Linked DNA regions of Macaca fascicularis. The protein of the gene in region 2 interacts with the protein of the main gene of each other region in a pairwise test. Links are inferred from orthologs where the notes say so. Each region holds a gene or a part of one and is shown on either strand. Other genes may lie near its edges.

The links. The genes of interacting proteins can lie anywhere in the genome.
Region 1: the proteins of NTAQ1 (region 2) and NT5C1A interact in binary tests that used the Homo sapiens proteins (3 or more experiments, as listed by UniProt). The two-hybrid records come from large-scale screens. The link is inferred for Macaca fascicularis from reciprocal best matches to the Homo sapiens genes NTAQ1 and NT5C1A.
Region 3: the proteins of NTAQ1 (region 2) and VCP interact in binary tests that used the Homo sapiens proteins (3 or more experiments, as listed by UniProt). The two-hybrid records come from large-scale screens. The link is inferred for Macaca fascicularis from reciprocal best matches to the Homo sapiens genes NTAQ1 and VCP.

The regions. Positions count from the first base shown.
Region 1 is NC_088375.1:195,235,423-195,239,072, reverse strand, and holds part of NT5C1A (cytosolic 5'-nucleotidase 1A), read right to left. Parts: intron 3,447-3,650; coding exon 3,317-3,446; intron 1,280-3,316; coding exon 1,157-1,279; intron 1-1,156.
Region 2 is NC_088382.1:133,061,461-133,065,210, reverse strand, and holds the start of NTAQ1 (protein N-terminal glutamine amidohydrolase), read right to left. Parts: upstream 2,665-3,750; 5' UTR 2,621-2,664; coding exon 2,538-2,620; intron 1-2,537. UniProt on the Homo sapiens protein: Mediates the side-chain deamidation of N-terminal glutamine residues to glutamate, an important step in N-end rule pathway of protein degradation.
Region 3 is NC_088389.1:64,373,321-64,376,513, reverse strand, and holds the end of VCP (transitional endoplasmic reticulum ATPase), read right to left. Parts: coding exon 3,047-3,193; intron 2,774-3,046; coding exon 2,618-2,773; intron 1,474-2,617; coding exon 1,319-1,473; intron 1,164-1,318; coding exon 1,058-1,163; 3' UTR 504-1,057; downstream 1-503. UniProt on the Homo sapiens protein: Necessary for the fragmentation of Golgi stacks during mitosis and for their reassembly after mitosis. Involved in the formation of the transitional endoplasmic reticulum (tER).

The DNA.
Region 1 (3,650 bases), on a different chromosome or scaffold from region 2:
CTGAGGTCAAGTTACGAACACACAGAGGCACACCTACATGCCAGTGCCAAGGCCCCAACCAGAGGGTATGACATCTGTCTAGGAAAATGGCTCCTGGTTCCTGGTTAAAGAAAGCCTCTAGGAGCTCCAAAGCAGCTCAGGGGAGTGAGTTATCGGGGGAGAGAGACCAGGCTTCCAGGCAGCAGGCAACATGAAAGAGGAAGAGAAAACTGAATATATTGTTGGTTGATAAAGAAACTTGCCACTAGTGTTCAGCTTAACGAGCCCTCTCAGGCAGCTGGCCAGTCCTTTCTCCTGTATGGGCCTGTTTTCTCCCACCTGCAATAGGATACGCACCTCGTTGGGAGGACTGAGAATATGGATACCACCCAAAACTGCCCCTGGAAAGACACATACTATCCTGGCTAACATGGTGGAACCCCGTCTCTACTAAAAACACAAAAAATTAGCCAGACATGGTGGCGGGCGCCTATAGTCCCAGCTACTCAGAGGCTGAAGGGGGAGAATGGCGTGAACCCAGGAGGCAGAGCTTGCAGTGAGCCGAGATCACGCCACTGCACCAGCCTGGGAGACAGAGTGAGATTCCGTCTCAAAAATAAAAAAATAAAAATAAAAAAATAAAAAAAATAAAGAAGACACACATAGAGGGACATTCTCTTTGTCAGTACTTGCATCTGGGTCTCCTAAACTCCCCTAAGCACTGGCCAGCCCAGCTGCTGGAGATGATGGCCATTCCCCAGATCCTACCATTCAGGCTGGACTAGATACGAATCCTCCTCCCCATTGGCCCAGGACAGGGCAGAGGCTGCCTTTGGTTCTACAGGAATCAGAACTCCTTCTGACTTGGAGAAATCATGGAAGAAAGTAGCTGTCTGGGCTGTAGAGAGGGTTTCCATGGAAACAGAAAGCTGGGTGATGCTGAGTAGTAAAAGCATTCATGACACAGTAGGGCCAGAAGTAGGAAGATGGAATGGGTAGGGCCTTACTTTCAGAACTTATAGGACAGATTATAAGAATTAAGGAAAGTATTGTGTAGCCTTGCCTTCTAGTTACCATGGCAACTCCCAGCACCTGCTCAGAACTTTAGGACCAGGCCTTCCACCTCAGGGACCCCTTTGCTGCACTCCCCATATTCTCCCTCCTCACTTAGACTTACCTTCATCAATGGCTTCTCGCACTTTTTCCGCATCGGCTGACAAGTAGAGGTTGGTGTGATAGGCCTTGAGATAGCAGATGGGGCTGTTCCCACCTGTCATGCAGAACCTCTCGATAAACAGGTCTGGGAAGGAGGTAAAGGACCCAGATGAGGCCAGGGTCAACCCTGGGCTTCCGGGCAGTCTCTCTGTGTCCAGTGGACGCCATCCTAGTTCTGGGTGTGGTACGGCAGCACAGAGTGGCTCTGTGTGATTTTTAGGCCAGTGTTCCCCTCTGAGCCCCTCCATCCTTCGTGAAGTGCGGACAATCACATCTCTAGAGCAATTGCCCAGCTCACAGGGACATTCTCTTGTCAAGGAATCACAGTGCTACATGCTTGTGTGACCCCGCCTCCTGGTCATAGCTGATTGGATAAGAGCAGACACCTGACCCAAGCTGAGCCAATCTGATTACCTAGGCTGCCAGTCCACTGGTCCTCATCACTGCAAAGGTTGTAAAGTATTTGTTGGTTGATAAACCGGCTGCTGCTCTGAGCCCATTTAAGTTACCCGTCACTCTCGCAGCCCCTTACCCAGGACCTCTGTCCTCCCCAGAGTCCACAACAGAAGGTGGTAATGCCTGGTATGGCAGGGGTCCTTCAGAGCCCTGCTTCAGCACTATAGGGAGGGTCTGTCCTGATTACGCAGTGTGGATGTCACACAGGTGGTTAAACATTTTTAATATCAATCCTGCTCCCAGCAATTTGAAATTAGGATTTAAAAATGCCTACTAGACTTTTTTGGTTGCTAAAAACCAGGCCTTGTAAACCTATAAATATAGGTGTATTCTTTTTTTTTTTTTTTTTTTTTTTTAACAGAGTCTCTCTCTGTCGCCCAGGCTGGAGTGCAGTGGCGTGATCTCGGCTCACTGCAAGCTCTGCCTCCCGGGTTCACACCATTCTCCTGCCTCAGCCTCTCGAGTAACTGGGGCTACAGGTGCCCACCACCGCGCCCGGCTAATTTTTTTGTATTTTTAGTAGGGACAGGGTTTCACCCTGTTAGCCAGGATGGTCGCGATCTCCTGACTTCGTGATCTGCACACCTCGGCCTCCCAAAGTGCTGGGATTACAGGCGCGAGTCACCGAGCCCCATCAGGTGTATTATTTTTCTGTCTCTCTCTCTCTCCCTAAAGTGGATCTCCCCTCCCCTCTCCTCCCCTCTCCTCTCCTCTCCTCTCCTCTCCAGTGATTCTCATGGCTCAGCCTCCTGAGTAGCTGGGATTACAGGTGTGCACCACCACGCCAGGCTAATTTTTGTGTTTTTAGTAGAGACAGGATTTTACCATATTAGCCAAGCTGGTCTTGACCTCCTGACCTCAAGTGTTCCACCTGCCCTGGCCTCCCAAAGTGCTGGGATTACAGGAATGAGCCACCGCGCCTGGCCTGGTTTTCTTGAATATGGTTTTTATTTAGGAAAAGCAGAGAAATCCAATTTCAGGGGAGAGAGGAAAAAAAAAAAAAAAGAGCAAACTTGCTAGAGAAGCACAAATAAATGTTCATGTGGCCTGAAGAAAAGAAGATCCTGGGAGATATTTCCAGTACTTGGATTCAGGCCTTTGTAGGCCCAATTTTATTTCCTGTCCTCTGAAAGACACCCCTGTAACCTAATAAGAAATTCTCCTGGGCTTAAGCTAGCTCTGGAGGGTCTATTATTTTTAACCTTGAGTTTAGACTAAGACGCAAAGCCCTTTCGCTCTGACAGCTGCACCTGATTCTCCCAGCAGCCTTGTGAGACCTGTTAGCCCCATCACAGTTAGAGAAACTGAGGCAGGGAGGCAGTAAGTGTCCCACCTAATCACACTGAGAGTGGGGTGTGCTGGAGCTGACTTGGACAGGCTTGCAAGAGCCCACAGGTAAACACTCAGAAATTTTGTGAGCCATTTGTATTGTTCAACCACTGATAGCTTGAAACCAGTCCTGGTGGAAATATTTACACCCTGAAAACTAGCAACACTACAAATCAGGGTTTTCTTTGTTTGTTTGTTTAAACAGCGAATTGACCAGCACACACTGGGCTTGGGGTTCCGGTCAGTACAACTCCATCCTGCAGAGGTGTGGCCCCATCCCTGGGGGTCTGGTAGGGGTGTCCCAGGGCAAACCCCCCATCCTCATGCTCATGCTCACCATAGTGGTTGATACTGTTGATGAGGCGGACACCCACTTGAGCATGGTTGTTGGTCATGAGGACAATGTCGAAGACGTCCTCACTATCGGGGTACAGCTCCCGCAGCCGCCTGTTCACAGCCTCCAGAGCCTGGAAGGGAGAGGGCATCCCCCAGCTTAGACCCCCAAGGATTGATACCTGAAGTTGGTGGCCAAGGATCCAATGAGGGGAGGTGAGGAGCCATGCTTGGGATGAGATCAGTGCGCATGAACTACCTTCTCCTAATGCAAGTTGCTTACCGCTCAGGGGTACCTAGCTGGAGAGAGTTGGGGCTGAAATCCAGCCCGCATTCCA
Region 2 (3,750 bases):
GCCAGGCATGGTGACTCATGCCTGTAATCCCAGAACTTTGGGAGGCCGAGGCGGGTGGATCACCTGAGGTCAGGAGTTTGAGACCAGCCCGGCCACTGTGGTGAAACCTCATCTCTACTAAAAATACAAAAATGAGCCGGGCATGGTGGTGGGTGCCTGTAGTCCCAGCTACTCGGGAGGCTGAGGCAGGAGAATGGCTTGAGCCTGGGAGGCAGAGGTTGCAGTGAGCCGAGATGGCACCACTGCACTCCAGCCTGGGTGATAGACTGAGACTCCGTCTCAAAAATAAAAAAACCCCACAAAGCTGCAGGAGCCAAAGTAGTGCAGTGCCCCCACCTGACATGTTCAGACAGGGTAGAGCACTGTTTCTCAGCAAAAGGCGATTTTGCCCCCCAAGCCCTACAGGACACTTAGCAATGTCTGGAGACATTTTTGGTTGTCACAACTAGAGCTAGGGTGCTAACAGCATCTAGTGGGTAGAGGCCAGGGACGCTGCTACATGTCCTGCAATACACAGGACAGCCCCCATAGCAAAGAATTATCATGCTCAAAATGTCAACTCGAACCTAGGCGGAGAAATCCTGCGGTAGAGTGGTCAACTCTTACCATTCTTCTACAAGACTGCTCTAACTCTGATACTCCAATTGTACCAGTCTCCTCACTGTTTCTATCATACAGCACAATTCCTTCTCAGAGCCTTTGTACCTGCTGTTCTCCCTGCTTAAATGACCATCCTCCAATAGATGCAAAGCTCTCACCCTCTTTTTTCAGATCTCTGTTCAAATATCACCTTATCAACAATGTCTTCTCAAAATATCCTAATAGAAAATAAGCCACCATCCTTTATCTTATTTTTCTCACAGCACTTAACACCACCCAAACATGGTTTACTTGTTTTTGTCTGCCTTTTTTTTTGAGATGGAATCTCGCTCTGTTTCCCAGGCTGGAGTGCAGTGGCATCGGCTCACAGGAATCTCCTCCTCCCGGGTTCAAGCGATTCTCCTGCCTCAGCTTCCCGAGTAGCTGGGATTACAGGCGTGTGCCACCACACCTGGCTAATTTTTGTATTTTTAGTAGAGGCAGCCTTTCTGCATGTTGGCCAGCCTGGTCTCAAACTCCTGGCCTCAAGTGATCCGCCCACCTCAGCCTCCCAAAGTGCTGGAATTACAGGCGTGAGCCATCGCACCGGACCTTATCTGCTTTTCTCTCATCAAAACACAAGAACCAAGGGATCCATGAGTGAATTTGTCGATCTTGTTCACTGCTGTATCTCCAGTGCCCAGAAGTGGGCCACATACTCCAAGTGCCTAATACACATTTATTGAATGAATGAATAAAACAATGGACATTAGGGAGGAGAACTAACGGGATTTAGAAGAGGCAGGACAGAAAAAGAGTGCAGCAGTTAAGATGCATGAACTTCAAAATCACGAAGATGTTCCAGTTTCAGCACCACCACTTGCTAGATGTGTGATTTGGGGGCACACAACAGCCTCTCTGTGGCTCACTCTTTTTATTAGTAAAATGAGGATAACGATAGTAAAAGAAGCTACTCATGGACATCGATGGAAGCACCTGCCACTGAGCCTGACATGCAATCAGGGCCGAACAAATGCTCGGTGGCATTGATTTAGTGACAAGCAGAAGGGGGAAGGGTAGTTTTAGATAGCACTGAGGGTTCCTGTGCAAGGACTAGAAGCTGGGGGAGAAACCATTACTCAGGAAAGAGTAGGCATGGGAATGAAAAAGGACCAAGGCAGGGGCGGTGCTTCAGCTGCAGAGGTGGCCTAGGACAGGGGTGCAGAGCATGGACTCCGGGGCCAGACTCTGCCTGTAAATCCCCACTCCTTCATTCACAAGTGATGTGGCCCTGCGCAAATTACTTGCAGCCCTCTGTGCTTCAGTGCTCTCATCTTTAAACTGGGGATAACAATACCTACCTCTTAGGGTTATTGTGATACTCAGTGATTTAGTTTACCTAAACCACCCAGAACAACGCGTGGCATATAGCAAGTGCTGTGTGAATGTAACCATTATTATAATGACAACATGGTTAAGATCATGGTTTCTGGTGCCAGAGAGCCCGAACTGGATTCCTGGCTGCTATTAGCTGGGTGACCTTGGGAAGTTATCCCAAACTCTCTGTGCTTCCATTCTCTTCCAAAATTAAAATGACCTTCGCCTCAGTCTGAAACCCCACATGCTTCAGCAGAGTAACTTCCAAAGGTTTTCAGAGCTCCACCCTTCCTAGCCCCGAAGCAGAGATCTGCTGAGCAAATCCAACCGACAAGCGCCAGGCACAGGTAATGCACTATCGACCCTAGGATTCCGGACGAATTCCCAACCCCATCCAACAGCCCACGCTCTACTCAAGAGACAAGAGCTGCCATTCCCGCTCCCTACTCCCGCAGAACTGTAGAACCCGCCGGTAGAGGCCGGGAGCGCCCCCGAGCAGGGGCCGGGAAGAGGCGGGGCCTGGTTGCAACTCGCGGCCCGGGAGCCTGGGAGACCCAGAGGCTGCGCCCGCGCCCCCTCACCAGTAGCAGCTGCTGTAGACACAGGCGTCCCGCGGGGGACTGGCCGGCTGGTAGTGGACGGCAGTGGGGCCATTACCCTCCATGGCCAGCTAGCTCGGCCAGCGCCGACGCCGGAGGAAGACCGACTGGACCACACGTAGGAAAGGGCGGGCGTGTAGCGGCCCGCGCGGGCTCTCAGGGCGGGGTGGGAGGAGCCCGGGGCGGCCGGGACAGTTTCCGGGCGGTGGGGCCAGGAGCGCGGTGGGCGGGGCTCGCAGCACGAGTTCTCAGCGCGGGAAGCCCGGGACGAAATGGGCAGAGCTCGGGCAAGCGGCGCCAGTTCCTGGGAAGGTGGAGCCCAAGCGAAGTGGGCGGGTCCGGGGTGGGGTGAGCGGCGAGAGCTCCCGGTGGGCGGAGCCCGGGACGAGGAGGACTGCGTGCTTCCGGGTAGGCGGAGCCCGGCTGGTGGGTGGAGCCCGGGGTGGGGCAGGACTGGAGGCTTGGGCTCTCGTGGGCGGAGTCAGGGGCGGGGCCCCGGTGAGGTTTGGGAGAAGAGGGGTCTTTGGCGGCGGCTTAGGGTGGAGCTAGGTTTGGGCTTGGAGTTGGGCCCTGAATAGCGCTTCGCTGTGAATCTCCCGGGGAGGCTCTTCCAACTTGGGGCTGAGCTTCTGCGCTGTGGAGAAGCCAGGTGAGACACTGAAATAACAGAGGTTTGGGTGTGAAAATCCACACTTCAGCACTCAGCCTGGAGTCCGCGGGAGCCCAGAGAAGAGGAGGGGAGTGGAGGTTAATTCCAATATGACCGCATCGAGGACGCTTTCCGAAAGGGATAGCACCCCAAATCTCACTCTATTGTAACTTAATCTTTTAAATTGGAAGACCTATATCTATTGGCTCGAAAAGATATATTAATTTCCTGATATAGTAAATTTGAAAAAAAAAGTTTAAAGAGTCCATATGGTATCCTTTTTGTGTTAATCATGTGTTTGTTCATTTACTGGCAGTCTGGAAGAAAAGACACCATATTGTTAAAATAGTATTTAGGGCCGGGCGCCGTGGCTCAGGCCTTTAATCCCAGCACTTGGTAAGGCCGAGGCGGGTGGATCACGAGGTCAGGAGTTCGAGACCAGCCTGGCCAAAATGGTGAAACTCCGTCTCTACTAAAAATACAAAAATTAGCTGGGCGTGGAGGCGCGCGCCTGTAGTCCCAGACACTCGGGAGGCTGAGGCAGGA
Region 3 (3,193 bases), on a different chromosome or scaffold from region 2:
TTATAGTAACAAAAAGCTTTTTTTTTTTTAAATCAAACAAAGTACATAAAATAAAGGTGGGCACAACGCTAAGTGATCACCAACCAGGGGATGTTTGGGATTTTTAGATGCATTAAAAGGGAGTATAGAGAATATCCACCAGCAAATAAGATTGTATTTTTTTGCAACCCTATGATTTTCAAATGGCTCCTAAACACAGTCTTTGGTCAGGATAAGGGATTCTGCAGGCCTAGCCTTACCGTTCACATCAAATATAGGTGGAGGGATGCCATATTCTCCACATTTGGAGCTCTGTCAGGCTGCTCCCTTTCCACCAGTCCTATCCAGTGATACTGCACACACAGGGTGAGGCAACAGGAGACATCATACTGATGTTGATCAGGAAAGGAAGAAGGTGCAATCTTACTTCCAGGATTTCACATTTGGAAGAATGCCTTGGGAGTGGTGGGTAGCCCAAAGCTCTTCCCAGGAAAAGAAGCAGGCACAGGGCCCAGGACTCAGGCTCCATTTTGACCCAACGTTTATTGTCCTTTTACAACATGTCATTTTTTGGTTTAGAAACTGCTTGTGATTAGTTTTCCAACATTAACTCAAAAGCATGTAAAATAAATCAACCTACTCTCTATATAAACACCCAGCAACTGTGGCCCCTACTCACCTACCCAGGTTGGATAGGGGGAAGGGAGGGCTCGGGCAGCATTGAGTCAAGTGCAGATGCTTTACTGTGGCAGGTGGCAGTAGTGCCTTGGTTCACACCCCACACAGGTCCCCTGCACTGCCCCAAACTACAACAGAAATGGCATAGGCCCAAGGCCCAATTCCCTGTTGGTAATTCACTCTCCACCTACCAAATGAAAATCGCTTTTATTTTTTCGCTTTTGTTTTGTATTTTTGCAACAGAAACCCCCTGTCCAGAGTCAGACTGTAGCTGAACTGTTCAGACTGAAGAATGGAGCAGGCTGTGGGCGCACCCCTGGTCCCTCTCCTGGGCAAGCGCCCCCACCCCCAGGGAACAAGGTCCGGGCAGGCCAGCTCACTGCATGCTGGCCACCACCACTTAGCCATACAGGTCATCGTCATTGTCTTCTGTGTATACACTGCCACCTGTGCCGCCTCCACTGCCCTGACTGGGGCCAGCTCCACCCTGGTTCCCTGAAGGGAATCTGTGTACGAGAGCAAAGCCAAAAAAGACGGTTAGGACAGAGCCTGTGTAAGATTTCCACAACTACCCCTCTAGCTTCCTTAGGACTCCCATTCCCTTTTTGGTGTAGGTCCCCAAAGTAACTTAAGCACTGTCTAAGGCTCCCAACCAAGTTACCTGAAGCTGCCAAAGCCCCGACTCTGCTGAAGGGTCTGGGCGAACATCTCGTACTTCCGAATGTCATTGTCACTGACAGAACGGCGCGCAAAGCGCATGGCTTCTTCAAAGTGATCTCGACGGATCTCAGGCACTGGATCATCCTCTTCTACCTCCTATAGTTGGTAAACACAGATCACTAGGGCTTAATACTTTAAAATGCCAATAGTTTTCAGTGTTTACCACATTTGGATTACATCCTACCCAGTGGTCTCGCTTTCAGTGACATATATACTCTAAAATATACTCAGGGTTTCCCAATGATTGCAATCCTACTACTAGAGCACATTATTTGGGCTGCTTATTCCCTTTATTCAAATTATACTCTCTTCACAGCCCAGCTCAAAACCTATCTCTTCCATTGAGAGGCCAATTGCTGTGACTTATGAGACTGCTTCCTAGGATTAGTTCATAAGTAGTTTTAAGCTTTTATGGGTGAGAGAAGGTCACAGACCCTTCAAAACAGAAAGAAAGCCATTTATTTGCTCATTCATTAAGTCCCATGTTTGGAACTTAATGAATTAATTAAGGGTAACACAGGACATAGTGGAAAACAAGTGAGATGACAGAGATCCTACCTTTATGGAGCTTACACACACATGAATTTGTCTTTTCATTTTGGGAGGACTGTGGACCCCATCCCTTCCCCAACCATCAGGGACAGGTATATGGGTCTCATCTCAGTTCAAAACCTTGCTCTGCAGCTCACGCCTGTAATCCCAGCACTTTGAAAGCCCAAGGCGGGCGGATCACAAGGTCAGAAGATCGAGACCATCCTGGCTAACACGGTGAAACCCCGTCTCTACTAAAAAAAAATACAAAAAACTAGCCGGGCGTGGTGGCATGCACCTGTAGTCCCAGCTACTCGGGAGGCTGAGGCAGGAGAATGGCTTGCACCTGGGAGGCGGAGGTTGCAGTGAGCCGAGATCGCGCCACTGCACTTCGGTCTGGGCAACAGAGCAAGACTTCGTCTCAAAAAAAACAAAAACAAGAACAAAAACCTTGCTCTGTTTGGTGCACTCTCATACTTTGATTTCCCTCATGGAGCTTGGTTTAGACTGAGAATGGAGCCTGCCCATCTCTTCTCGGCCTTATTCCAAATTGAATGGATTCACCTCAGTATTCTTTATCTTTGATGCCCTATTAACATTCTTCTCAGATGATCTTTTCAACAACTTCTACTCTCAACTCTAGGGCATGGTGGTGGCTGCTGCCTGGCTCCCCATGACTGGCACATCTGGGGAAAGGATACAGACTCACCATGGCTGATGGGTTTGTCTGCCTCTCTCGTTCTCGCCTAATCTCACTTTCGATGGATTCACGGATGGCCAGCTTGCAAGCACGCTGGCAAATCTCTGTAAGGTCAGCTCCAGAGAAGCCATTAGTCATTTTAGCCAGGAACTCCAAGTCCACATCCTAAAAGAAGCAGCAGAGCTACCTTAGCATTTAGCCTCTTCTCTCTTGAGATACACAGATCTTTGGGCCATCCAAGCACTCCCAACTAGTTTGCCCCTTCTTTGGCCACCCCATTTTATTCCTGATTCTAGATTATCTTAATACCCTCAAAAATTCTACCTTCCCTTTAGACCAACCCTAACCCCAAAGCAATCTTGTCCAGAACCCAAAGAGCACTCTATACCAGACTGAGGACTCATAGAAGTCTCCCACAGCCCATGATCCTGCACCTGCCTTGGCAACTGGGGACTTGCGCAGGTTAGCCTTGAGGATGGCAACACGTGACTTCTCATCAGGAAGTGGGATGTAGATGAGCTGATCAAGACGGCCAGGTCTGAGGATGGCAGGATCAATGATGTCAGGCCGGTTGGTAGCGCCAAT